7 linked regions of the Canis lupus familiaris genome follow. The protein of the gene in region 1 interacts with the protein of each later gene in a pairwise test. Links are inferred from orthologs where the notes say so. Each region holds a gene or a part of one and is shown on either strand. Other genes may lie near its edges. The genes, in order: RBPMS, SH3RF2, ZBTB32, NEU4, CNNM3, RUSC1 and CSN3.

Evidence for each region.
Region 2: the proteins of RBPMS (region 1) and SH3RF2 interact in a two-hybrid assay, tested with the Homo sapiens proteins (2 studies listed by BioGRID and IntAct). The two-hybrid records come from large-scale screens. The link is inferred for Canis lupus familiaris from reciprocal best matches to the Homo sapiens genes RBPMS and SH3RF2.
Region 3: the proteins of RBPMS (region 1) and ZBTB32 interact in a two-hybrid assay, tested with the Homo sapiens proteins (3 studies listed by BioGRID). The two-hybrid records come from large-scale screens. The link is inferred for Canis lupus familiaris from reciprocal best matches to the Homo sapiens genes RBPMS and ZBTB32.
Region 4: the proteins of RBPMS (region 1) and NEU4 interact in a two-hybrid assay, tested with the Homo sapiens proteins (2 studies listed by BioGRID and IntAct). The two-hybrid records come from large-scale screens. The link is inferred for Canis lupus familiaris from reciprocal best matches to the Homo sapiens genes RBPMS and NEU4.
Region 5: the proteins of RBPMS (region 1) and CNNM3 interact in binary tests that used the Homo sapiens proteins (3 or more experiments, as listed by UniProt). The two-hybrid records come from large-scale screens. The link is inferred for Canis lupus familiaris from reciprocal best matches to the Homo sapiens genes RBPMS and CNNM3.
Region 6: the proteins of RBPMS (region 1) and RUSC1 interact in binary tests that used the Homo sapiens proteins (3 or more experiments, as listed by UniProt). The two-hybrid records come from large-scale screens. The link is inferred for Canis lupus familiaris from reciprocal best matches to the Homo sapiens genes RBPMS and RUSC1.
Region 7: the proteins of RBPMS (region 1) and CSN3 interact in binary tests that used the Homo sapiens proteins (3 or more experiments, as listed by UniProt). The two-hybrid records come from large-scale screens. The link is inferred for Canis lupus familiaris from reciprocal best matches to the Homo sapiens genes RBPMS and CSN3.

What each region holds. Positions count from the first base shown.
Region 1 is NC_049237.1:34,777,312-34,781,438, reverse strand, and holds the start of RBPMS (RNA-binding protein with multiple splicing), read left to right. Parts: upstream 1-1,327; 5' UTR 1,328-1,609; intron 1,610-1,707; 5' UTR 1,708-1,846; intron 1,847-2,933; 5' UTR 2,934-3,189; coding exon 3,190-3,255; intron 3,256-3,720; exon of another isoform or gene 3,721-3,735; coding exon of another isoform or gene 3,736-3,759; intron 3,760-4,127.
Region 2 is NC_049223.1:39,550,759-39,555,102, forward strand, and holds the start of SH3RF2 (E3 ubiquitin-protein ligase SH3RF2), read left to right. Parts: upstream 1-1,537; 5' UTR 1,538-1,691; intron 1,692-2,833; 5' UTR 2,834-2,939; coding exon 2,940-3,317; intron 3,318-4,344. UniProt on the Homo sapiens protein: Has E3 ubiquitin-protein ligase activity. Acts as an anti-apoptotic regulator of the JNK pathway by ubiquitinating and promoting the degradation of SH3RF1, a scaffold protein that is required for pro-apoptotic JNK activation.
Region 3 is NC_049222.1:117,766,402-117,770,575, forward strand, and holds the start of ZBTB32 (zinc finger and BTB domain-containing protein 32), read right to left. Parts: upstream 2,808-4,174; 5' UTR 2,708-2,807; intron 1-2,707. UniProt on the Homo sapiens protein: DNA-binding protein that binds to the to a 5'-TGTACAGTGT-3' core sequence. May function as a transcriptional transactivator and transcriptional repressor. Probably exerts its repressor effect by preventing GATA3 from binding to DNA.
Region 4 is NC_049246.1:51,660,781-51,664,783, forward strand, and holds the start of NEU4 (sialidase-4), read left to right. Parts: upstream 1-1,195; 5' UTR 1,196-1,344; exon of another isoform or gene 1,345-1,433; intron 1,434-1,879; exon of another isoform or gene 1,880-1,974; intron 1,975-2,899; 5' UTR 2,900-2,999; exon of another isoform or gene 3,000-3,091; 5' UTR 3,092-3,238; intron 3,239-3,259; exon of another isoform or gene 3,260-3,554; 5' UTR 3,555-3,627; intron 3,628-4,003. UniProt on the Homo sapiens protein: Exo-alpha-sialidase that catalyzes the hydrolytic cleavage of the terminal sialic acid (N-acetylneuraminic acid, Neu5Ac) of a glycan moiety in the catabolism of glycolipids, glycoproteins and oligosacharides.
Region 5 is NC_049231.1:46,209,003-46,213,203, reverse strand, and holds the start of CNNM3 (metal transporter CNNM3), read left to right. Parts: upstream 1-1,349; coding exon 1,350-1,693; intron 1,694-1,804; coding exon 1,805-2,730; intron 2,731-4,201. UniProt on the Homo sapiens protein: Probable metal transporter.
Region 6 is NC_049228.1:42,221,872-42,224,654, reverse strand, and holds part of RUSC1 (RUN and SH3 domain-containing protein 1), read left to right. Parts: intron 1-553; coding exon 554-652; intron 653-797; coding exon 798-874; intron 875-969; coding exon 970-1,144; intron 1,145-1,312; coding exon 1,313-1,418; intron 1,419-1,558; coding exon 1,559-1,605; intron 1,606-2,061; coding exon 2,062-2,611; intron 2,612-2,783. UniProt on the Homo sapiens protein: Associates with the adapter-like complex 4 (AP-4) and may therefore play a role in vesicular trafficking of proteins at the trans-Golgi network. Signaling adapter which plays a role in neuronal differentiation.
Region 7 is NC_049234.1:60,686,160-60,689,206, forward strand, and holds the end of CSN3 (kappa-casein), read left to right. Parts: intron 1-25; coding exon 26-490; 3' UTR 491-524; intron 525-2,355; 3' UTR 2,356-2,512; downstream 2,513-3,047. UniProt on the Homo sapiens protein: Kappa-casein stabilizes micelle formation, preventing casein precipitation in milk.

The sequences.
Region 1 (4,127 bases):
TGATCCCAGGACCCCAGGATCATGACCTGAGCCAAAAACAGATGCTCAACCACTGAGCCATCCAAATACCTGCAATTTTATTTATTTTTGAAATCTCATCAGTTGTCTCATTCTGAGCAAGCTCTCTATCTAGGTGGGTCTCCCCTGCAAAATAATGCCTAAAGACTACTACCATGAATCTGCCTAGTGTCCTTGTGGTGGCTCCCTATGCTGAGACACTTCCACTTATTCAGTCCCTCCTGCAGGGGCTTTGTAAAGATGTGATGTCATTCAAGGCTGAAAATCAATCTCTGATAAGACTGTGTTCATTTATTCAAAAATATTCACCGAGAGCCTACTATGTGTTAGGCACTGTCTAGATATTGGGGACACAACGATCAAATCAGACAAAGATCTTCTTCTAGCCCTTATTTTTTTTTTTTTATGCCAGATGTCTTTGACTTTTAACAATGGACAAAGTGCTGGCAAAAGAATCAGGTTCTACATTTGGAATTAGGCCACATTTCCCTGGACGGAGGTAGCAGCAGCATCCTGGAATCATACAGCACCTTCCACCGACTTGTAAGTGGAGTCTGACTGGAATCATCAATGACTAGATCAACTGTCACTTTTCTTGGGCCTTTGCCAGGCTCCAGCAAGACAATATCTTTCTGTGGAGTGTATTCAGTACCTGGCAATGGCCCAGGAGGGCAAAGGGCCTGTGTTTATTGGTGGCGCAGGGGCCCAAGACCACCACGCAGCCATTGCTCAGGAACACATTGCCCCCTCGTGGTTCTTTACGTAATTGAGGGAGGGACTGGGATTGGAAAGGCTCTCCAAATTTCCAGATTAATCGTGGTGGCCTTTGCCTCTTCTGAACTTCCATTGCAAGTTCAACAGTTTCTTGGTTTATTTTCATCCAGGATACGCTTTCCCCCCACCCCCCCCACAGAGGCACATGACATCCTGACAGCAATTAAACCTATTTATCAAAAGCTTCAGACTTCCCCCACCCCCAACCCAAGAAAACCCCAGTAAGTGAATGCAAGAATTACCACTCTGTTTTTCTTCACAACGCTCGTCACACAAGTATTTTCTCTGCTTTCTGCTATTTGAACCAGGATCGCTGATCATGTGGCCATGGAGTTGTTTTGGGTGTCTCGTCTCCACAACACCAGTTAAAACTCCCTAGAAGCAGGAGCCTTATCTTCACCCCCACCTCCACCCCACCCCCAGCAGCACTTAAACCAGTACAGGGTGAAGAATGTCTGGCGGGGAGGGGGGAGAGCAGAGAAAGATAAACAGTGAAGCGAGCAAATAAATAGAAGTTGTGATTGGTACTGTGCTGGAAAGGAACAGCATGTCGTGTGAGAGAATTCCTGGGCGTGGGAAGTGAGGGAGAATCTTCTGATAGAGGCCCTTTTAAATTTATGTGTTTATGATACAGGAATGGAGAAGCTCTCTATGGCCCCGGGAAAATGGAAATTTCCTTAATAATAATGCTAGTTTCCCTGTTCTGTAAACTTACACCGGGCAGGAATGAGTGCTGGGTGCTCTAGCTCTACCAACCTATAATCTCCTCTAATTACAACCCCCCTGGGAGGTAACTATAACTACTCCCATTTCGCAGGTGAGGAAACGGAACCCAGGCAGTCCTCTGGCGCGTGGTGCTTAAACAGGTACTGGGTGCCCCCCTCCCAGAATGCTGAGCCCTTTTTCTTCCTTAAGGGGCTTTGACCCTCCGAAGATCATCTGGGTTGGCCTCCAGCTCGGCTCGCCGTGAGCAACAGTCACTTAGCCAACAAGTATTTATTGAGTGCCTACTGTATACCCGGTAGCGTATTTAACTAGCCGTGGGATTATCAAGGTAAACAAGGACACGGTGAGGCTGGCGTTGCGTTGTGGGGAGGCTCCCCCGGAAGGGTGAGGGAGGCAGGCAGGTAAGCAATTCCAGGACGGTCTGCTGAGGGCCGAGAGAGGGGCCTGAGCAGAGGGGGGCGCGAAGCCTAGCAGAGGGCGAAGGCCGGGGCTGAGAGCCTGGGAGGGCCCGGCGTGGGAGGTGGGTTTGAAGCTGCGCCCTGGAAACGCCGGCCCCGAGCCGGCTGCCCCCGGACCTCGCTCGTTCTCTCGCATCCTGTCATTTCGAGCTGCCAAGTAGGAAGGGAGGAAATAGGTCTGAGCCGGTGCTGCAGAGGCAGGGCAGGCTGAGCGACGGGGGCGCGATCCCCACGGCGGTAGCCCACGGCGCGTCCCGGGCGTCGCGCGGGCCCGGCCCGGCGCCCCGAAGCCCCTCTCCAAGCGGGCGCGCACCGCCGCGCGAGCTCGCCAGCTCCGGGGGCCCCCGGGGGCCGGGGAAGCGGGAGGACCTGGCCTCCCTCCCTCGTCCGCCTCGGCCCCTGCCCTCCGACCTCCCGCCGAGTCGGGGGGCTGGGGTCGGCCGCTTCCGCCCGCCGCCCCCCGCCCCTCCCCGGCGCGCGCCATCCGGCCGCGGGCGGCCCCTCCTCCCGAGGGGGGCTTCTGCGTCCCGCGTCCCGTCCCTCCGGGCTGAAGCTGGCAGCCCACGTCTAGGGAGGGCGGAGGGAGGAGGAGGAGGAGGGGGAGGGGGAGGAGAGAGGGGAGGGAGGAGGGCGAGAGAAAGGGAGCTGCTTGGATCCCGTACTTCTCAGAGCCTGCCTGGAGCGCGCACTCAGCGGCTCTCCGGGTCCCAGCGTCCCAGCCGCGCCCCGCACCTCCTCCTCCTCCTCCTCCTCCTCCTCCTCCTCTTCCTCGGGTCTGGGCACCCCTCGCCCCCTCCCTCCGGCCCCCGCCAGGCTCGGGCAGCGGCCGCCCCCAGCCCCGACGCGGCCACATCCCCAACTCTCTGGGCTCCCTCCTGGGACGCGCGCCCGCGCCCCATCCTTTCTTCCTTCCTTCCTTCCTTCCCTCGCGCCCGCCCGCCCGCCCGCGCTCTCCAGGTCTCCCTCCCGGTCCCGATTGTCTCCGTCCCCGCCGGCCCGCGCCTCGCCCTGCCCCGTGTCTCCCGCGCACTTCCTGGGTCGCCTCGCCTCGCCTCGCCGCGGAGCCCGAGCCGCCGCTGCCCCGGCTCCAGCCCCCGCAGCCCGCGGCGCCCGCCCGAGGGAGCCCCGGCGCCCGGGGAAGGGACAAGCGGGCGAGCGCGCCCTCGCCCCAGCCCCGCGCCCCAGCCCTGCCCGGCGAGGAAGGACCGGGAAGATGAACAACGGCGGCAAAGCCGAGAAGGAGAACACCCCGAGCGAGGCCAACCTTCAGGAGGAAGAGGTACCGGGGGGCTCGCTGCGGCGGGGGCACGACCTGGGCGCCGCAGTCCGGGGTCTGGGCACGGCCCTCGCCGCGACCTGTGGCCCCGGGCCGGGGGGGGGGCGGCGGGGGGGGTCTCTTCGCAGAGCGCGTTTCTAAAGTTGCGTAACTTTGAGGACTTTTCGGAGTTTGCTAAGTATAATGCTCAGCTTTGTCTGCGTGGGATTTTAAAAGCGGAATCGAGAGCTGACTCCCGGGTGACCTCCGGTTCCTGGGACCCAGAGGGTCGGGACCGAGTCTGCGACCGGGGCTGGGAGTGGGGGGTGTTTGTGCGTGCGGCGTGAGGAAGGAAGGAACTCGGGGAAAGTTCTCGGCGGGGAGACACCTTCAGTTCCCTGCCCCCTCCCCCTCCCTTTTCAGTGTTAAAAGTTCTCGGTGCGATCTCTTTCCAGCTGAGGCATTCTGGATTAATAGATAACTCATCAGCTGCATTCTTCTCTGATGAGTCAAAGACCTCGAATCTGGGTGATTAGGGTTTGTAAATTTTAGGGGCGATGCGGCTGGGGTGGGGTGGGGGAAGCCGAATAAAAGAGTTTGAGAGTTTACAACTCGCCAAGAGATCATCTTGGCTGTTTTAATAGCACTTTGACTCCTGAGCGTGAATTTTATGTGGTGCGTCCGTAACAAAGTTAAAAACGTTGCGGCGGCGGAGCGTTCCTTGGGGTAGAAACCCCATTTATCCGTGGGAGGGAACACCTGAACGGACGGTTTCAGAATTTTGTAGTTAGGATATTTGTGGTATTCTTTCAAGTGGCTTTGTTCCTGCAGGTATGTTACCTGGAGTCCAAGAAACAGTACATGTTTCGCCTGCTTTTTAAGTTCTCCCATAGCTG
Region 2 (4,344 bases), on another chromosome or scaffold:
TCACAGAGGAGAGGGCTCAGCTTTACCAAGTGGGAAAAAGTAAGGGACAGCAAAGGGCCTCAGATAAGAGACTTCCTGATGAGCATAGAATTTATAAAAGTGGAAATTAATTGAAGGAGAACAGGCAACAGAATTGGATTTGATGTTGTGGAAGCCCAAAAAAACCTTCATAAAGAGAGATGAGAAAAAGAGTTGAAAATGGTTTCTGAAATTGGCATGTACTCAAATCAGGTCTCTGTGCTCAGAGGACAGATGACTTCATCTGCTGCATCCTAATGCTCTCCTCTGTTGTGAGCTCCATGCATCTTTTCTTTTTCAGAAATAACATGGAAAAATTTTGTAAAACATGTAATCCGCCACCACCTGTTATCTGGCGTCTTGGTCCCCTCTTAAGATATTCCCATGGAGCTGTAGCTAAGTGCTTTCTGCATCATAAAGAACTGTCATCCTTAAGTTGAAAGAAGAGATTTAGTTTAAAAAAAAAAAAAAAAGAATACCAGTTTCTAGTCCCAGTTCTGCCCCTAACTTACTGGGCAACTTGAAGGAATCTCTTGATCTCTCTGGGCACAGCTCATCTGCAAGGGAAGTTGATTGGTCAGCTTGGGTCATTATCTTTTGACTTCCTGCCATCCCCAGATGCAGTTTAGCTCCCTCCAACCATCTCCTCCCCTTAAAGCTGTATCACCATAGGACATGGTAGTACGGAGCACGGAACACCTGTCTCTTGCTGGCTGTGACTCCTGGAATGGGTTATTTAACCTCTCTGTGTCTCAGTTTCCTTATTTGCAAATGAGGGTAAAGAAGAGTATAGTGTATTACTGGCTTACTAACAGGATTGAGTTATATAGGTAAAGTAGAACAGTGCTTAGCACAGATAAGGGCTACTCTGGGGTAAGATTATCATGAGTATTTACTTTATGGAATAACTATGTAACTTTACATGAAATGTGTTACAGATAAATCAAGACATCAAAGTATTAGCATTATTTGGAGCTATGGAAAGATTCCAGCAAGCATGGGGCAGGGAGAGAGACTGAAACCATTCCTTCTTCAAAACCCTTCTGTGCTGTGATTTTTCAAAGGTGTACATGTACTACCATGATACGATTTTTTTTTTAATTTAAAGAGATTGAGCAAAAGAGATCACTAAAGGTCCGTCTCAAATGTACAAATTCAAGGACTGACTGCTTTTCAAGGAGAAGTACTTTTTAGGTGGCGGGCTTATCTCTGTTATAGCTACCGTTAATATGTTTGACCTTTTCAGCAAATCCTTATAAAGGTTTAAAATACACACAGTCACCTTGGCATGTTTATAAACCGAGCATGTTTCAACTTCTGGGATAGGAGACAAAATGAGAAAAGTGAAAATATCAACTGCAAATATTTAGCCTTAGGGGCTGGCTTATATTTTGTCCCTTCTAATCTTTTCCCAGAAATCAACTCAGTTACACAAAGGAACGATGGGCAGCAGAGGGTGAACTCCCGAGAAAAGCGCTGCTGCCTGCCAGGCAGTGAAAGCGTTAACAGGGCTGAGTAAGGCGATCCTTGAAATGAGTAAGACTCAGAGTTGTTAAAGTTTTCAAAGCGCGGCAGCGGCTCTTGGGGAAAAGGAAGCGAGTTGGAGGGAGCCTGGCCAAGCCGAGGATGGAGGATCGCGCTGAGCTGAACTCAGCTGGGGTTCTGTGCTCAAGGTTAGTGCCCCCCCACACACACACATCTCCCCAGAACTGACGCCTTGGGAGAGTTGTCTCAGGAAGGCAAGGCGCCCTCTCTCCTCCTGGTGTGTCATGTCTGCTTTGCTTACTGGCGGGCCACCCGCCCTTGGGCTGAACCTCCCAAACCTCTGGGGCTGCTGTGCACAATTTTGGCATTTGTGAGGGACAGGTGACCTCTTCCTGGGAGACCTCTTTCAACTGGACACCTCTTTTCAGACGTCTAAAAGGAAACTTTCTGGAATAAGGATGTTTTCAGACCACACACACACACACACACACACACACACATACTCACACCTGTATACATTGTTCCATCTTGATTTTTTTTGGTTGTGACCACAATCCAGAATTGGGATCTGTTTCAGATGAAACTGAGAACACTTGTCAAAGTAACTAAACAGGCTGTGTGACTTCACCCTGTGGGAGGAATCTTGTCTCTGAGGCTAGAATAATCAGGGGAGAGAAGGGGGGAGAAAAGAAGGAAGAAAGGGATGGAGGGAGGGACGAAAGGAGAGAAGGAGGGGGGGAAAAAGCTTCCAAGCATCCTGGCCTGTGGTTAAGGCAAACAGTTTTTGAAAATGTGTTTCTCATAGAACTTTTTCTCATATGTTGCTAGAACAAACTAATGGGGGAAGATGCATAATGAAGGAGCTAATCCTACATCTGCATGAGATTCAGATAAACTTGTCTATATAAACTTGTCTGTTCTGCAGATAACAGATAAACCTAGGGGAAGAAGGAGGACTAGATGACTTCACAGAAATTGCATTTTGGGGGGGCCCTTGATGTGAGAACTGAAACTGATTGGTGGGGAAAAGAACCCCCTTTGAGCCCTCAGGCCACCTCAACCAGCCAGTTTTGTCTCCTTGCTCTTGCTTCCACACACAGAAGCAATGAGTAAGTAGTCAGTCACCATGGAGAATGCTCCCTGAGATCCTCCAGCAGGCAGGAGTTGAGCCTCATACCTGCTAGCACTGAATCAGAATGAGTCATTTGAAACTTGGGTGCTGGAACAAAGTACTTGCAAACTGCCTTATGAGACACTGCCTCCATGTAGGTGGGATATACCTCTCAGAGCAGTCCCATTTTCTTCATCTCTTCCTTTCTCATTCACACAGGCAGGAATTCTGACACTCCCAAGAGACTGGATCTGCCTCCTTGGCTCAGCTCACCCTACCATGCAGACTTTGCCCCTCCAGATCAGGATTGGAGTTTTAAAATAAAATGGATGATTTGACGTTACTTGATCTTCTGGAGTGCCCCGTGTGCTTTGAAAAGCTCGACGTCACAGCCAAAGTCCTCCCTTGCCAGCACACCTTCTGCAAACCATGTCTCCAGAGGATTTTCAAGGCTCACAAGGAGCTGAGGTGCCCCGAATGCAGGACCCTGGTGTTTTGCAGCATCGAAGCTCTGCCAGCCAACCTGCTGCTCGTGCGTCTTCTAGATGGTGTGCGCTCAGGGCAGAGCTCTGGAAGAGGGGGCTCCTTCCGCAGGCCTGGTGTGCTGACCTCGCAGGACAGCAGGAAAAGCAGGACTGACCCCAGAGGTCTGCAGTCCAGCCCTTTCCGACTGGTGCCTAATATCAGAATCCACATGGATGGGGTAAGAAAGATCTTATTTGTTCGTATTGTGTCCCTTTGGAGGTTGGATTTGTGTATACCAGCAGCTAGGAATTATCTTCCTATAGTTACATTTCAATGAGTGCTGCCAGTGATTCCCCAGAGAGAAGTTTCTATGGGCAGGGATCATTTTACTGAAACTTGGTGGAATCCTGAGCCTATCTTATCCATCCAGAAATTCTTAGAATTGTTGAGGTCTCCCCGTGCTGCTTGTCTAGAAGGTACTAGCACAAAGAAAGCCTTCGTGATTATTTTTCACCTTTCACTTCTGCTATTTGAGGCCAAACCAGTGCACAGGAAATGTGCAGAGGAGGGGGAAAAAGAGAAAACAAATCCAGCTGCTTTTTGCTTTTGAGATCTTTGAGAAGTTAAATGTCAGGTTTTGTTTTAATTTTACCCAACTCCATCTTCCCACCTCCAGTCCTGAAGTGCTATTATGACAGTGCTCATTCATGATCTGTTCGAAGTTATCAAGATACTTGAACACCCAAAGACTGTGCAGGAGGAAAGCATATCTGTGGGTGGACTGATTGATAGGAAGGCTGGGCTGTGAAGTACAACACGTGTGTACAGGAGCCCTGCAGATGTCTAACTCTACAAAATGAATCAAACATACATAAAATGCACCTCGGTGGCTGCCATAACCACAAAGGCCCGGCAGTGGTGCACAGGAGATCATAGGAACTCTTTTGGTGTTTGGATAACGCGAATCATTCTATCCAGCCATGCGATTGGATCCTGAGGACTCTATCTGACCTTGCTGCAAGCCTTTTGTGGGAAGCTGTGTTAAGGACACATCTTGAGAGGAGGGACGCAGTCCTTGTGAGTCCAGCAGGATTATGTGCACTGTCACCCCAGGAGTCAGTGTGTCAGAGCAGACACAGAAAGCTGTGACCTGGGTTACTGGCATACTTAGAAAGTCAAGGCTGCCTTCTGTGAAGTCTTACCTAAAGTGAACAGCTTTTTTTTTTTTTACATTTCATTATTCTTTTTAATTTATTTATTTTTTT
Region 3 (4,174 bases), on another chromosome or scaffold:
AGAAGTCCCCCATCACAGTCTCAAAAACCTTGTCCACCTTCTACTTCCCAGGCTGACTGTAGGAATCACCTGCAGTTGTCTCCTGGGGTGGACTCAGGAAACCATTGATTCTGAGGACACAAACCTGCATCTTGGGAAGGTAGAGTGGATAGGAAAGACTAGATAGGGCATACCTGGAAGAAAGTATGTGGGAAAAAGAGTTGACTTTTGCCCCTCATTCCTAATACTCATATTACTGAATAAAGTTTAATGTCTGGTATTTTTTATTCTCATAGGCTTGACCAGAGCTCCTTCATATGCCCCTGCAGGTACAACTCAGCTTGATATAAAAATGTCAACGCAGCAATACAATTATGGATTCTCCTTAAATATAATTAAAACTAAGCCACAGAATAGGCTGATTAGCGGGGTGATTATTTGTTTTATGACAAATGTTCTCCCTTTATCTCACTTATTTCAGATACTACTTCCAAAGTCAAGTTTAAAAAGATTCAATTTAGAAAAATTATATGAACTTTCCACTTTTTTCAGGAATGCATCTCTTTCTTCAAATCAAAGTGGTTAAAGTCCCCACAGCATTTTATAATGCAGATGAAGACCAATTATCCAAATCTTACCTAAACTTTCAAATGCCCACTCTTTCTAGTGAAGTACATCCAACACATACCGATACATACCACGGAGTAAATTAGTTTCTTTCTTCCCCTCAATCTGTATTTCATATAACTTAAGAACCAGTGTAATTATAGCCAGGTGAGCTGCAGCTAGGTCATAGAGACCCTATCATAGCATATCTTTTGTGGATGAAGTGGAAAAAGAACTAGACTAGAAGTAAAACAATTTAGGTTCCACTACATCCTCTCTGTGGGTGGCCTTTCTTTTCAGTCCTAATACGGGGGCTAACTCTTCTAAGATCCTCAATTTCCTCACAGGGACTGCTTTCAAGAGCAATACTGAATGCCAATATTGTGTTAAACCTGCTCTGACCCCCTCTGGCTGTGGTCCCCCCTTGGGCCAAGGATCCCAAGAGCATCGAGGAAGGGCCCACTGGGAACATGTGTCCCCCAGTTCTAGGCCATGCTCTGGGAACTTGGAACCCTGGACTTCCTCACCCAAATGGCCTCCTTCCAGGACAGCCCTCAACCCTGGGTCTATATTCAGGAGGGTGAACTGTGAAACCGATACACACACCCCAGGCCCTAGTTGTGTGTGAGGAACAGGTAGACTGAGCTCAGACATGCAGACTAATCTATGAGATGCCTTGAAATGTGCACCAACACCAGGTGTGGGAAGAAAAGGGGAAATTTTCATTTTTAGTCTTGCCTCAGCCCCATGAATAATACAGGAACCAGCTTTATTCCAATGGCTCTTAACATAGGTTAAGGGGATCACCATCCCTTTTAAAATTGTAAGCCACAGAATCAACTCTTTACATCAGAAAATTGTGGATACTCATACAAGGGATTCACAGGCTGGAGTCAGTCCTTGGACAGGTTAGATACTCCTTGTTTATCCTTGTGGCTGCTTTGCATGCCCCCCCCCCAAATACAACATGCATATAGTTTTTCTTGTGATTTCCAGGAGCTCCAAAACCCTTAAATCCACTCATAGACCACTCCCCCTTGCACCCCCCTACCCAAGGTTTAAGAATTCTGGGTGTACATGAAAACACTCTGAAAGCTTCAATACCACATAGAACTTGTCCAGCTGAGTGAAATTAGATATCAACACCCTGTCCCATAAGAATTAAAAAAAAAAATCTTCCGTAATGACAAGCTGGGTGATTTCCTAAGGAGCAGGAAATCTCACACACCTCTTCCTGTGCTCTAGGACAAGATCCATCTTCCCTATGCATCTGGCTCCATTCTTACAGCCTGGTATCTTCTGAGAATGACCAGGGTTTCAGAAAGAGCAGACCAAAAGGCCCTAATATGACCCAATCCTGGTTTTTTTTAGAGCCACACGGCAATAATATTTCATGGAGGGCAAACAACCTGAGATTCAGAAACTCCCTCCTCAAGAACCTCCAGAAGACCTTGGGCCTAACCTCCTGGCCAAGTTGTCTATCCTGGACCTGATAGTGGAAAATCTGCACCTCAACCTAGAGTCCAGCGACCCCCAAAACCTTGCAGCTGCATGTTCTTAGCACAGCCTGGGTGCAATGGCTGTTGACAACTGCCCATTGGACTTCCAATCTCGACAACTCTCTCAGCCCAGGCTGGATCCAAAGACCCCAGAAAATCTCCCAAGAGCACACTAGTTTCATCTTTTGGCCAGTAATGCCCCGCCCCCCCCCCCCCCCATAACCTCTGGAGAGTCACAGGCCTCCCCTTCCAGTCACCACATCCAGACTCAGGCCAGAGACCTCAGGCAACCTGTCACCGATCAGAGGCCATACCTCACCGCCAACGAAGCCACGCAGAGCTCCAAGGGCCTCCCACGGCCACACAATACACTTCCAAATCAAGTCAGCCTCAGGGACTGTGGACCAACCCAGGGCATGTTGGCCTCTGCCCCAGCCCGGGTCCAAAGGTGCCTGCCCAGGAGGCCCCACTGCCATCCTTGCCAGGAAAAGGGAGTCCCCGGGGACTAGAGTCCTCAACTCTCGCTTCTCAACCCTCACGACGACCGCTCCGGCCCTCCCACCCCAGCTTGGCTTGGGCCAGTCCCAGGCCTGAAGAAGCGTAAGAGAAACCATGGCACTCACCGACTCGGGCCCTGTGCCTCCTCCCACAGTCACATACACCGAGGGCGGCTCTAGCTCGAGTGGCCGTTGGGGAGCGGCGAGTGGGGAGCGGCGCGAGGCCCGGAGCTCGAGGCCCTGCGCGTGCACAGCTCACGGGTCTCGCCTGGTTTCCGCCGCGGACGCCGATTGGCTGCCGCCGGCCGCCTCCTGCTGAGCATGCCCAGCATCCTCGGAGGCACCTCGGACAGCTCCCCGTGCTCCGCCCCCCCGCCCCCGCCCCCGCCCCGCTCCCCCCGCCGATTGGCTGCGGAGCTCCCTCCCGCCCCCCTGGCTCTGCCGAGGGGCGGGGCCTTGAGTCCGATGGGGATGGGTCGGTGGGCTTGGGTTTCAGGTCTCTGAGGCGGAGGTCTCACCCTCCAGCCTGTCCCCTCCCCTGCTGAGCGGCTGCGGAGTTTGCCCCTTCCCACCCTCTCTCTGGAAAGACTTGGCCCGGAACCTCCTTGGCCTCAATAGTCTTGGAAGCTGCCTCCGCAAGGGCTCAGGATTCAACGGCCTTCTTGCTTCTGTCTTGGCACCCTGACGAGCTCTGTTACACACCCTCTCACCTCTCTCTCAACCCCTGACAGTCTATGCAGTGTGTGTCTGTGATTGGTCGGGAGGCCCTCGAGAGTCGGCCAGGCTTCGGGGTGCCTGTGGGCAGCTCCCCTTTCCCGCCTCTTGTCCTGCCCACCACTGATTGGTTGCAGAACGCACCCCGCCTCACCTGGAAGTATGCGGGGACGAGGGAGGCGCAAGAGGGGGCAGTGCCTTGACCCGCGATTGGTCTAGATGCTCGCGCTTCAAATGCTCATTGCCTGTCAGCTGAGCCAGGGATAACTGCGTACTTCACGTACTAGCCACCCCCCCCCCCGCCACACACACACACACACACACACACACACACACACACACACACACGTGGAGAGGATGGCCCATTGCTCCGCCCCGCCATGAACCGGCCAGGGCTAAGAGCTCAGCCAGCTGGCTTCCCATTCATGCCGGGTTTGGTGCGGACAGGCGGCGAGCTCGCGGCGCGCGGGGCAGGGAGCAGCCCCCGAGCCGGGCTGCGGCGGCGCTGCTGATTGGCTGGCCGCTCTCTCTTCCAAGGGCTTTGGGTTCGCGCTCGGACACAACCAATGAGGAGCGAGGGCGCTTTAAGGAGGCGGGCGTTGCTCGACCGCTTCCACTTCTGATTGGCCCAGGGGCTTGCTTGATTGATCCGAAGGCCGGGAGGCGGGAGCCCAGGCCAACGGCTTCAAGCGGCGGTTGGCTTTCGCTCCCTGCGCTTCAAGCGGCTCAGCTCCGGGGCTTGCTGGAGTGTTTTCTGGCGCCCACCACCCCGCAGCTAGCTGAGGAGCTGGAGACGAAGGACGGGCGCTGGGGGACCCTCCAGAGGGGGGCCTGGGACAGCAGGTGCAGACGAAAGTCGGGACGGAGACTGGCCAGCGG
Region 4 (4,003 bases), on another chromosome or scaffold:
GCTGAGATGTTGCGAGTAAGAGGACACTGGACACCGAACACCGCTTCCCCAGCCCCGCACAGGGACGGGGAGCCACGGAACCCCAGGATCGCTCGTCCACGACCCCGAGGGTCAGCACAGCAGGGAAACCGGAGGCCGCCACGTCCCTGAAAGGCAGTGAGGCTTTACGGGGAAGAAACCACAGAGAGACCCCAGTCACACTCAGCGCCTGGAGCATTGGGCGGGCTCCACGGGTTCCGGGAAAGGGGCGCCCACGTGCCCGCTGCCACCAGCCGCCAGCCCAGGGCACACACTGCCCCCTCCCCGCGGCACAGACGTGGCTCGGCTCCCAGCTGCATGTGGGGCAGGAACTCGGAGGTGCGGTTGGAATCGAGGGTATTTGCTTTTGCCTCTGGTTGGCAGGAATGTAAACTGGTTTTGTCTCCGCAGAAGGAAATTCGGGATACTGTTACACTGTAAAGGGCACACGGTTGGAGGGAGGCGTGTCGGCAAACAGCCGGGAAAACCATGCAAACACCCGAGTCTCTGCGCCTAGGGAAGCCTAGGGGCACAGATTCCGGCACAGGACTCCCTTCAGCAGCCGGACGGAGAGACACCCAGGCCTTGGCAACGACAGGTGGCCGCGGGGGGCAGGGGCCCCTGCCACGGAGGAAGCCCAGGAGGCGGACCTTCTGATTTGTCAAGAGAAGCTGGAAATACAGGTTTTCCTGTGAAATCTCCACATTTAAAACGGCTGGTGTCTCATGCAAACATTTATCAGGGTGGTGGTGGGGGCGCGGGGGGGTGAGCAGGTGGAGGGGATAGAGCTCCAAGCTTCCAGCTTCGGGCCGGCTGAGGGCTCCGCGTAGAGGGGCGCAGCTGTGTTGTCTGCGGACACACGGTGGGGTGGCCGCGTGCTCCTGTCCCCTCAGCACAGACGATACAGCCTCAAACTAATAGAATATCGTTTGTCACAAGCAAAAAAACCAAAACAGAGCGCCCAGCTCTCTCGTGTGTCTGTAGAGGAGAGGGGATGGGGGCCTAGGAGGAGCCGTTCGCTCCCCTCCATGAGTGGACAGGAAAGATCATTACGAGCATACTTAAATTTTTTTTGAGTATTTTTGGGAGCGTCTATGAATAAAAGCTTTTCAAACGGTGAAGTGTTTGTCGTTCAAGCATTCCTCGGTGTTAACAACGTAAAACAAGCAAAGCCACACCCCAAGTCCCCGAGCAGAGGGAATGAGGCCGGTGTGTGGGCCGCCTCCTCCCGCGGTCCCAGAGGGCCCCCCTGCACGGGCCGTGCGGCAGCTTGGGGGCGCAGCGGGAGGCCCGAACCCTGGGCACAGAGGAAGGGAGACGGTTTGGGTGAGGCCCTGGGAAGTGGGGGGTCGTGTCTGATGTGGAGACGCTGGGGTCCAGATCGAACGACCAAGAGACGTGGTCGGCGTGCAGAGGTGAAAGCCCAGGGGCAGGACGCGGGCGTGGGAAGAGCTGTCCCAGCCCGAGGTGGGAGGGGGCGAGGGAGAGCCCAGTCGCCAAGTGACTTTGGGAGCCAGGGGGCCATCTGTGGTTAGGAGAGGGTCATTTAGCACCGGCTACCGGAACCCGGGTCCTGAGCCCCTCCAGATGGACACTGGGGGTTGTGTGCCAGGGGAGGAGCACCCACATGTGTTGCGGGGAGAGAAAGCCAGTTTCCTAAGGAGTTTCTACAGGTTCAGGTGGACTCGCAGGTCCTGGGGGGTCAGGCTACGGTTGCCCGCTGCCCTTGGCAAGGTGTCCCCATGGAGGCCGCCGAACCCCCAGAGGAGGGTCACTGTGCCCTCCTCCAGGGCCTCAGTGGGCTGCCCGGAGTGAGGACATGCACTGTCTCACATCCTCGTCTCCCCCTTCCCGTCCACAGCACAGCCTGGGCTTGCATCTGGGCACGGGTGGCCCAGGGTACTGACCTGGGGGTCTCCTTGCTCCTCTCCCCAGGTCTCCCGAGGACCTGAGCAGGTGGGTGGGTAGGCGGTCTCCAAAGGAAGCTTGGGTTGTAGGCAGTAAGGGGATCGAGGGGAATACCTTGTCCCAACTCCCGAGCCAGGGTGGATGGCTTCCTTTTATGTAGGGTCAGGAGGACTATTCGGGAAGGGGAGCCTTGTCATTGTCTGTAGAGGCGTAAAGTCACGCGTGTGCCTTAAGGAAACCTGCCGAAACGTAGTCGTCGTGTGTGATGTCCGTGCGGCTCGTGTCCTCCCAGGGCAGGGGTCTTAGTGTTATATGAGGTCAGGGCGACTGTGTGGTCGCCCGTGCCCCGTGGTCCATCTGCACAGTGAGTCGGGGGTGCGGCTCCCACAGTTCGGATGGTCGGGCCCCCAGAGCTCTTCCTCCGGGCCAAGGTTATTGCGGGGGGCAGGGGGGCCAGTTTCAGTGTCCATCCCGGGATGCGGCACCTGCTGGGTCTTTGCCCGAGTTAAGAGACCAGCCGGAAAGAAGAGCTTCAGGAAGAATGTGGGAGGGAGGTCAGCGGGTGCACGCGGGTGGGCAGTCCAGGTCAGGTGCTGGGGTCTGTCCCGTGGTCCTGCTGTCAGAGGGCAGGTCAAGGGGGTACAGGTGGGGCGCAGGGAGCCTGAGCAGGACGGCCCTCCAGAGAGCCCTTTCACCCACACCTGGGCTGCTGAGGGCCCCCCTGACGCCCCCGGGCGGCGGTCACCTGGACACGGTCACTGGTGAAAGGGCCCAGCTGGTGGGAGTCCTGACCAGGCCACGGGTGGGAGTCCTGACCAGGCCATGGGTGCTAGGGTGGGGGCTGTCCCCTCCAAGTCTGAGCCGGCCACCTCACATGGACACGGGGCTGAAGCCCAGTGAGAGCCCAAGGGGCCTGCGTTCTGGGTGTCCGAGCCGTGCTGGGAGGGTCACGAGTGCTCACTTGGGTTTCCAGGGGCAGGTCTCTGGAGGAGGCTTGGAGGCAGCAGAGATCTAGGGGTCAGCTGTCAGCTGCGGCCCTTGGCACCCGCGGTCCCAGCCCAGCCTTGTTGGAGGTGAGCCCCTAGTTCCAGGCACTGCAGGGCAGAGAGGGCTTCCCCCCCTCCCGCCGTGCCCATCTGCACCGCCCTCTCTGGGGGCCACACAGCTGGCAGGACGCAGCCCTGGGACCCCGCCAGTCCAGGCTCCCGCCCCGCACAGCCAGCCCTTGTCCCTGCTGCGCTCACTGGGTTGGAGAAGCAGAAGCAACTGCAGCTGCCCCGCAGCCAGCTCCACGACCTTCCTGCGACACCCGGTGAGTCCCCTCCCTGCTCGCCTGCCCCCGGCCCCTCAAGGCTCCTCTGTCCCCCCAGGCTGCCCTTGGGCAAGGGCGGGGCACACTCGCGGGCTGAGGGCCGCCCGGCCATATGCTCCACACGGTGTCCCCGTGGGACAGTTTCCTGGTCAGAGCGGCAGGTGCCCTGCAGGGCCCCGGGGTAGCCGCGGAGAGCCGGTGACCTGGCTGGGGGGCTGCGGGTCAAAGTGGGGGCGGGCCAGCCTGCAGGAGTGTGGGGCCCGGCTCCCCCAGGCCAGTGGTTTGTAACTGAGTCCTGGCCCCCGGCACGGCCCAGGACATTCACCCAGACTGGAGACCCTTCCGGAAGTGACAGGGCCAGGAGGCCCCTCCGCCAAAAGGCCAAACACGTATGCAAAACCCTTTGCTGTTGATAGGCACGCATTTAAGTGACTTTAAGTGACCCGCAGCAGGCTGGGGTCCTGACCTGGGCGGGGGCGGAGACCTGCTGATAGGAGGGTGGGGGTCGGGGGACAGCTGTCTGGAGGGTGGGATGTTGGGCACAGCCATCCTACCCTGCTCACACCAAGCCTTGGAACCTACTGATGTGGCCAGACCTGGCCAGCTACCCCTGAGGAAGAGAACTCTTCCTCCTAGGTTGAGGGGGTCGCCCTGGGACTTTGGGGTTCTGCAGAGACCCGGGCCCACATAGGATGGCCCGGGGTGCCCTGTCCTGCTCTGTGCAGGCGGCAGTGTGAGCAGCTGGTCTGTGCGGCCTCCATCTCT
Region 5 (4,201 bases), on another chromosome or scaffold:
ATTTTTTTTCTTCAAAGGAGGCATGCTGATCCAGTGGAAAGGCTCAGTAGTGTCATTGCTTCTGCTGGCTCGTAAGTGAGGCATAGCACCCTCTAGATAATAAAAACCAAAAACATGGAGACGTGGTTGGCCTAGTCACAGCGCTGAATTTACAACGTTGAAGAGACATTCTCACCATCCTTTGAGGAGTTTTTCACAAAGTATTTTTTCTTTTGATTATCCACAATGGGTCTGCTCATTTTTGCATGTTGCCTTCCACCCGTTTTACTTAATTGTGGTCACAGTGCCTACACTTTTTCTTACTATTTCCATGACCTAGCAAATGTGTTTCTGTAGAATCCTTAGGAAAATTTTAAATGACATGTAGATGTGCACCCTTATCAAAGTCTACTTTTGTTAGGAAATTTGAAAATACATAAAAATGTAAAGAAAATATACAAAAACAATCTGGATCCTTGTAGAAAAGACTTGTTCAGTTTGTCTCCTTCCGGTCATATAAAGATCATGCACAACGGGTGAAAAGCATTCCATACCGTCAAGGAACCATATTGCCTTCTAAAATAACTCTCTAGTAAGGATCCTGTTGAATAGTTCTTGTTCCCGAGAAGATATTTTCCCAAGGATTATCTGCTAGAAGTAGAGTGACCGGTAACAGGAATTTTTGACCGCGCTGCCCCTCTGCTAACGTGGCTGGGAAGGTGACCGGGGTAGTAAGTAGGTCGTGTTGGATCCTGCATCCACCCTAAGGCACGCTTCACTTTTCTCCTGTAAAAGTAGTTTGAGGATCCAATGAGGTAGCGACTTCGTGGGTTTACAGAATTACCGTCGTTCTCTCTGGCAGGAATGCAAGGTCCTTGAAGGCAAAGGGCTAGGTCTCACGTCCCCAGCCCCACAGAGCACAGTCGGGCGCAATCAGCCCTAAGAAGCTTGAGCTTCCCGACGTCGGGGCCCCTAGGTCAGCGGTGCGCGGAGCCCTTCCCTAAGAAACGGTGCGGCCGCCACACACTGGCGTCTCTGGCTCCGCGCCCCGGCTTCCCAGAGCGCAGGTGCGGCCTCGGGGCGCGCCGAGGGCCCGCGGGAACGGGACGCCCAGGTCGCCGGCCACCCCCCTGCCCCGGGAGCCGCGGCCGAGCCCCGCGGCGCCCGCAGCCCCACGCCCCACGCCCCACGCCCCCGGCCCGCCCCGGGATCGCGCCGCCGCTTGTTTACTCCCGGCGCAGCCTAGTCCGACCCTGAGGCCCGCCCTCGCCCGCCGCCTATTGGCGGAGGAGGCGCCAAGGCCGGCGACCATTGGGCCGGGGGAGGCGGAGGGGTAGGCTGCGCGGGAGGCCGAGAGGGGGCAGCGGGCGATGGCGGCGGCGGCGGCGGCGGCGGCGGCGGCTCGTCTAGGCTGGTTGCTCGCCGCGCTGTGCCTGGGCGTCGCCGCCGGGGAGGCCGCGCCGGGCCCGCGAGTGCTGGGCGTCTGTCTGGAGGAAGACGGAGACGCGGGCGCGGGGTGGGCGCGCGGGGGAGAGGCGCGGGCCGCCCCGGAGGCCGCCTTCCGCCTGCGCCTCTTCGGCTCGGGCTTGGCCAACAGCTCCTGGTCCTGGGTGGCCCCCGAGGGGGCGGGCTGCCCCGAGGGCGGGCCGGCCGCGACGCCCGGGGAGGAGGAGGAGGCGGCGGCGGCGGCCCCCGCGGGCGAGTGGCGTGCGCTGCTGCGCCTGCGCGCCGAGGCCCCGCGCCCGCACTCGGGGCTGCTGGCGGTGCGCGGGGAGCCGGGCGGCTCGGCGGCCCGGGAGGCGGCGGCCCCCGCGGGCGAGTGGAGCGCGCTGCTGCGCCTGCGCGCCGAGGCCGTGCGCCCGCATTCGGCGCTGCTGGCCGTGCGCGTGGAGCCGGGCGGCGCGGCCGCGGAGGAGGCGGCGCCGCCCTGGGCGCTGGGCCTGGGGGCGGCGGGGCTGCTGGCGCTGGCGGCGCTGGCGCGGGGCCTGCAGCTGAGCGCGCTGGCGCTGGCGCCCGCCGAGGTGCAGGTGCTGCGCGAGAGCGGCACGGAGGCCGAGCGTGCGGCGGCGCGGCGCCTGGAGCCCGCGCGGCGCTGGGCCGGCTGCGCCCTGGGCGCGCTGTTGCTGCTGGCCAGCCTGGCGCAGGCGGCGCTGGCGGTGCTGCTGTACCGCGCGGCCGGCCAGCGCGCCGTGCCCGCCGTGCTGGGCAGCGCGGGGCTCGTGTTCCTCGTGGGCGAGGTGGTGCCGGCCGCCGTGAGCGGGCGCTGGGCGCTGGCGCTGGCGCCGCGCGCGCTGCTGCTCAGCCGCCTGGCCGTGCTGCTGACCCTGCCGGTGGCGCTGCCCGTGGGCCAGCTGCTGGAGCTGGCGGCGCGGCCCGGGCGGCTGCGCGAGCGCGTGCTGGAGCTGGCCCGCGGCGGCGGCGACCCCTACAGCGACCTCAGCAAGGGCGTGCTGCGCTGTCGGACCGTGGAGGATGTGCTCACGCCGCTCGAGGACTGCTTCATGCTGGACGCCGGCGCCGTGCTGGACTTCGGCGTCCTGGCCAGCATCATGCAGAGCGGCCACACGCGCATCCCGGTGTACGAGGAGGAGCGCTCCAACATCGTGGACATGCTGTACCTCAAGGACTTGGCCTTCGTGGATCCCGAAGACTGCACGCCGCTCAGCACCATCACCCGCTTTTACAACCATCCGCTCCACTTCGTCTTCAACGACACCAAGCTGGACGCCGTCCTGGAGGAGTTCAAACGAGGTAACTGCGGGACATCGGGGAGGGGACACGAATGCCAGCGCCCTCCGCTGGAAGAAAGGGGGGAGGGAGTTATGGAAGCCTCGAGGGAAAGGGTCCCATCCTTCCCTCCCAGGGCCCTTTGAGATGATGGCCTCACAGGGCTCAGTGGCCTCTTGAGATACCTAAAGGCTGTCCTTCAGGGCGCCGTAGAAAGCAAAATCCCCCTTTTCCTGGTAGGCCTGATTTGGGGAGCCGTGTCCATTTGACTTACCAGCTTCAGGGTCATTTTTGTGGGCTTTGGCTTTGTAACAGGCCTATACTCTTAAATAGAAAGGAGGATAGTCTTCAGACACCTGGATGTTATCACCTGCGCACACAGTGTCAAAACAGCTGGGCCTGTGAAGTTTCCAGCGATCATGGTTTTAAGGTCTCTGATGGGCTGCTGCCTTGCTGATAACAGAAGAAGGGATGATGCCTGATTTTCTGCAGGTGTGGAAGAAACTTCCACTTTGATTTCACCAGAAGCAACCTTATGGATGATTTAGTCTCCCTCTTTTCTTTTCTTTTCTTTTCTTTTCTTTTCTTTTCTTTTCTTTTCTTTTCTCTTTCTCTTCTCTTCTCTTCTCTTCTCTTCTCTTCTCTTCTCTTTTTTTTTCTTTTCTTTTTTTTTAACTTCCTCTTTTCTAAGACTGAGATCTTTTGGCGTCTCCCTTAACTCCACAGTTCACCTCCTTTTACCTTGGTTTATCTGAGCAACTCTAAGGTCACATGGGTAAACATGGAGACCCAACCTCCAAGTGTGAAGGTATGGGTTCCTCTGTAGTCCTCTCCATCCTAAGGCGTGGGTGTGCTCCCCAGAGCGTGGCTGCTCTTTGTCCACCAGCCATGCTTCTCCTACACTCCTACAGGATGAAGACGGGGGACACCCCAGGGCTCTGGATGGGCTTGACCCTAAAGGCTGCATAATGTGAGGCTGGGAAGAGAGCAGATCCCCTGATCTTCCTGGCAGCTGTGAAGTCTGCTGGCCCCAGGCCACAAGAGTATAATTAGTCAGGGCGTGGTATTGAAAAGTTGGGCAGTTACTATCCTTACTGTACCTGAGGATTGAGTGGGGAGGCTTTGCTGTGCAGCTCTGACAGCTTGCTAGAGCATCTCTTGGGTGCTCGTGGCTCTTTCTCCCAGAAAGTGGTAATGCAGTTCCTCTGTGGGGAGGGGATGCCCAGGTGGGGTCTCTGATCTCTGGTGGTGAGTACTCCATCTGGGCCATTGTAGTACTCGAGGCAGTAGAGGTTCTTGTGGCCTGGTGGCCAGGACTGCCAGCCCTGGAGTGTGCAGAGGTGGGTTCCAGCCCGCCCCTGTCACATCCCAGCTTGAGACTCTGGGATGGCTGGACTGGATCCTCCAGGGCGCTGACTTTGAGCAGAGCACTGACTGATATGGAGAACAGTGAGTAGGGGGTCCAGCTAAGAAATGATCAAAGGCTGAACGAAGA
Region 6 (2,783 bases), on another chromosome or scaffold:
CTCCCCCTCCAGGGTCCTCGGGTGAGGCGGCGCTGCCCCGCCCGCCCGTGGGGGGCACCTGGCCCCGCGCCTCGAGGCCCGGGCGAGGGGTCGCGGGCCGGGGCCTGTGCGGTGCTGGGGTGTGGGGGGCACAGTACGCCCTGCCTCGCTCGGGGGGTGAGGGGAAAGCAGGCGCCGGACCCCAGTGGGCCCACGCCCGCGCCTCCCAGCCTACCCCCCTCCCCTCCCCAGGTCGCCTCTTTCTCCGTGTCTCCTCCCACTCCCTTGGTCGGTCTGTTTGTCTGTCCATTGGTCCTGGCCCCCCACGTGCTCCCCGGGCTGCCCTCCCCCCACCCCGGCCCATTGGGCGGGGCGCGCGGGGCTGTCCGGGCGGAGGTTGGCGCGGGCCCCGGAGGGGGAGGGGCAGCGAGCTCGGGGCGCCCCACCCGGCCTAGGGCCCTGTCCCTGTCCCTGTCCCTGCTAGTTTCCGGCCCCGGGTGCTGCGGGCGACCTGGGCGCCAGCCCGGTGCCCTCGGGTCACCGTGGTAAGTGCCGCCTTCTTCCTTCGCGGCAGCCCAGAGTTCCTGGTCGTTCGCCGGTGTCCCCGGGGCCCAGCGACGGTGGATGGCAGAGGCCCAGAGCGGGACCGGCCAGCTGCAGGAGCAGAAGAAAGGTAGGACGCCCGGACCTCTGACCCCAGCCCTTGGGTTGGCTGCTGCTCTGTTAGGCCTCGGCGCCCTGTCGGCCTGTAGGAGCCTGGGTGTCCGGCCCTGGGGTGTTTGCCACACAGACGTGAGCTCCCCACCCGCCCTTTGCAGGGCTCCTGATAGCTGTGAGCGCCTCCGTGGACAAGATCATCTCGCACTTTGGGGCGGCCCGGAACTTGGTTCAGAAGGTGAGGGCGGCGGTGGGGAGGCTGTGGGGGCCCCTGAACAGTAGGTGGGGTGGGGGCAGCAGGCACCTCGGACAAGCGGGTTGTGCCACCCCCAGGCCCAGTTGGGGGACAGCCGTCTGAGCCCAGATGTGGGGCATCTGGTGCTGACTACCCTCTGTCCGGCCCTGCACGCCCTGGTGGCCGACGGCCTGAAGCCGTTCCGGAAGGACCTCATCACGGGGCAGCGCAGGAGTAGCCCCTGGAGCGTGGTGGAGGCTTCTGTGAAGCCAGGTGAGGTCCCCTGAGGGGGGTGCTGGGGTGGGCAGGCCGGATGAGGTAGGGGTAGGGGCTGGAGCTGGTGGGGTGGGGTGGGGCACAGGTAGGCAGGGGCAGGGCAAGGTGGGGCAGGGGCAGGGGCAGGGGCGGGTGGGGTCCTGGCTGATAGTGCGGTGTCCACAGGTGCCAGCAGCCGGGCGCTGGGGACTCTGTATGGCCAGGTCAGCCGTCTAGCCCCGTTGAGCAGCAGCCGCAGCCGCTTTCACGCCTTCATCTTGGGCCTCCTCAAGTGAGTGGCTGTGTTTCTGGTGCCCCTCCCATGGCTTGGGGGCCATCGGCGGTCACGGGTGGAGGGACGCAGCGTCCCTGAGGTGGCCTCCCCTCTCCGAAGCCCTACGCCGGCCTGAGCTCCTGTCCGTTCCCCTCCAGCACCAAGCAGCTGGAGCTGTGGTTCTCGAGCCTCCAGGAAGATGCAGGTCAGTCGCCCATGGGTAGGGCAGTTTGCCCACTAGGGGCAAAGAGGGGGGCACTGTCTCTTCTGTGGGTCCCCCTGGTGCCAGAGGGACCTTGATCCTCATTTCCAGTTTGGTGACTTAGACTTCTAGTGTGTCCTGTTCCCCCCTAGCAGGAAAGAGCCAGATCCTCCCTGAAACCTCCAGAGTCTTGCATGTTGGGCCTCTTCCTCCTTCCCAGGCCTGGGCAGTGTTTTTTTCCAGCTCCTTACCCCAGGGCCCTCCTTTTGCTGTGGTCACCTCCCCTCCCCCCAGGAAGTCTCCCTCATCCTTGGGGACCTTGTTGGGAGGGTCCCAGGGAGCCCACTTCCCACATTGTGTCATTGAGGGGCCAGGCCTCCTTCCTGCCATTCCGGGGTCACCACTCAGCCCATGGGCCTGGGGCTGACCTGGGGGCTGACATCAGCCTGCTGTCCCCAGGCCTGCTGTCCCTCCTGTACCTGCCCACTGGCTTCTTCTCCTTGGCCCGGGCTGGCTGCCCTGCCCTGGCCACGGAGCTGCTGCTCCTGCTCCAGCCACTGTCTGTGCTCACCTTCCACCTGGACCTGCTGTTCGAGCACCACCACCACCTGCCCCTGGGCCCCCCACCCACCACTGCCACCCCAGGCTCACCTCCTGCCCTGCAGCAGACGGTGCACGCAGTGCTGCATTGGGGGGGGCGGCTGGCCCAGAGCCTTCGGGGGGCCCCTGGGGATACGCCTTCTGGCCCTTCGGCCCTCGAGAGCACCCCAGCGCCGGGCAGCTGGTGGGAGCAGCTGACCCAGGCCTCCCGGGTCTATGCCTCTGGGGGCACCGAGGGCTTCCCCCTTCCCCGGTGGAGGGCCTGGCGTCCAGGGACGGCGGCTGGAGGCCCCCACGACAGGCCCCTGCCCACAGAGGAGGCCACGGCCGGCCGAGGTCCGTGGCTGGGGAGGCTGTTTGGAGTGCCTGGGGGCCTGGCGGAAGGGGACGGAGGAACGCTGAAGTCCAGGTACTGCCACCACCAGTCTCCTTCTAGGCCTCTGATCCTTTCTCAGAGCCCTGTTTGCCCCAGGGGGAACCTCGGGGGATCCTTGAGGCCTCTTCGTTGTGTGAGAACCCGCAGGGCACTCTCTGTGTTGCCTCTTGGCCTCAAAGATGGAGATATTTACTGCCTGCCCTTT
Region 7 (3,047 bases), on another chromosome or scaffold:
TCTGCATGATGTATTCTTTTTACAGTGTCGTGAGAATGATGAAAGACTGTTCAATCAGAAAACTGTCAAGTATATCCCTATTCATTATGTGCTAAATAGCTTTTCTCACTATGAACCCAACTACTACCCACATAGACCAGCTGAACCAATTAATCATCAATATGTGCCTTATCCATTTTATGCAAAACCTGCAGTTGCAGTTAGGACACATGCCCAAATTCCTCAATGGCAGGTCCTGCCAAATGCCTACCCACCCACTATGATGCATCGCCCACAACTACATCCATCATTTATTGCCATTCCCCCAAAGAAAATTCAGGATAAGACAAGCATCCCTACCATCAATACCATTGCTACTGCTGAGGCTACACCTATTCCTTTCACTGAACCAAAAGTGAACACTGCAGTCACTTCAGATGCTTCCTCAGAATTCACCATCACAAGCACACCTGAGACTACCACAGTTCCAGTTACTTCACCTGTAGTCTAAAAACTCTGAGGAAACACCAAAGAAGACAACGCAGGTAAATGAGAAAAAGACAAAAATAAATAGTACAGACAAGATTCATGTATTTATCAGTATAATCATAATACCTAAAATAGTATAATAGATAAATTAAGCTTATTATGAGAGTAAGCAAAATGAGTTCATTATAATTGTAATTTGGTGGTGCCATAGCATTGATATACTAGATTCTGTTCCAATAAGAAATGAAATATCTTCTTTTACAAACTACAGAAAAATTAGAGATTTTATTAGCAAACTTTATTTCAATAATTGAAACACTCTTAGAATCTACTAGTTTTGTTTCATTCCTACTCATACACAAGGAAAGTAGAGTACCATATTATGTTAAACTTACGATTTTTCTTATTTCAAAAATAAATTTTTAGAACATTTATATAGAATATGAGGGTAAATACATTTTAAACATTTAACCATGTTCTTGCACTCTTAATTTTGCCCTGAATCAAACAAAAGGAAGTACATTTTCCATGCATTCCTTTATTTCAGACATCATTTCTGAAAGTGTCCAGGAAGCCAGGCACTCAAAATTTCTTGTATTCTAAGATGAACCCATGGGAAAATTGGAATTCCTAGTTTTAAAAGCACATATATACTAAAGGAATACTTTCAGAATCTTAAATGTGATGCCAACATTTCCATTTATTATTTGGATCAATGAATAATGGCAAAATCTAAACTGAAATTTATGGAAAGAAATTAAAGGGAAAGATAAATAAAATAGAGAATAACCAGGATGTGAAGTACTTTGGGGGAGAAAGTTGTAAAATTTTAAGGTTCTTTGAAATAAATATTTTCAGTGCATCACATTGTCTACACGTTATATAACCTGAAATACAACACAGTGACCTGTGATACAAGGGAATAGTATTAGACCAGAGAGGGTATTTGTTTCATCTTTGTGACTTAGGCAAGTCATTGCTCTCTCTGAACTTTCATTTTCTCTTAATTTTGGGTTCTATAGGGTTCAAGTGACAGTGCATATTGTGGAAAGATTGTAAAAATGATCAGTCTACAAAATGTATTAAAAGAATAAAATCCGTAAATGCTAAAATTTACTTTTAACCAATATCTTGTTCTTACTAAATGGTAGAAATGTTACATAGTTATCTCAGATTACTCCTATAGCAACCATATGGGACAGATTATATTACTATCTTGAATTCACAAATAAAAAATAACTGGCCCATGGATATTAAATAAATTACCACAACTCAAAAGTTCAAAACTGGGAACCAAACCAAACCTGTCTGGTTTCAGATAGTAAAGCAAAATTACTGTGCTATTTCTACACAGACTGTCTAATGCACAGAAATAGGGAAAACACATTATGGTTTTCTTAGACAAATGTATGTGCAAATTATATTATTTAGCTCTTATTTAATAGGACATATGGTAGGAAAAAGAAAGTGAGATGGTAGATAAATTTTTGACTTATTAAAATTTAGAAAATAAAATAAGAAAATTAATAGAAGCAACATGAAAGCAAGTAGTAAAATTACATATTTTATTGATTCAAAATGTTACATGATTCCGTTTCTAATGAAATAATCATTATTTCAGTAGTTATGAGTAAACTCATAAACCTAAATTTCTAAGTTAAAAACAGTGCATAATATCACTTATAAAGAAGCATATTAAGGACATTGTCTTAGTGTAAATATTAAGCAAAGTCAATTATTTTCAGTTACTATAAGCCAAGTTTAAATATTTAAATTTATAAAATCCTTGGAAACAGATATATGAGACAAATCACTTAAATAAGAGTCTACATGAGAACTATTAACATACTATTAGCTAAATTCCTCAACTTTCACCATTTTTTATAGGTCTTGCTGAAACCAAATGACTACTCCAAACTCTTCCTTTGGTCACTCGTCTAAATTCATTCAAGAGAGAATGTGATTTTGATGAATTTGGCTCCTTTCTCTTCTCATCTCACATTTTACATCCAGATCACATTTAATTTTTTGTTTCTTGCACAATAAAGCCATTTGAATGCAAGCGGATCTCTTAATTGAGGAGTCTGTGGATTATACTTCAGGGATCTTTGAAACCTTGAAATTCCAAGGCAAATTTAGTGTGAATTTGAATAAATAAGTTTATCTGGGGGCAAAGTTCATAATGTTCTCCAATTCTCAAAGTGGTCCATGGTCTAACGGTGATTAAGAATGTCTTCTCTAGTATGACACCAGAACATCTAAACTTACAAGTATGTCATCAGAACTAGAAAAGGATTAAGTTAACATTTTCCAATCCAAGGGACCACAAAGTGACTCTTGGGAACCCTGGAAACTCCATCAGCTTCTGTAATTTTGCCATGGATCTGTATTTGTAGCTGTGGTATCTATAGCCTGCCTATACCCAAATTGGCTCCTAGGAATTATCTAAAATTAGCAATACTGTGGAGCACTTAAATTTAATGTTAACTCTAGGGCAGCCCAGTTGGCTCAGCGGTTCAGCGCAGTCTTCACCCAGGGCCTGATCCTGGAGACCGGGGATCGAGTTCCACATCGGGCTC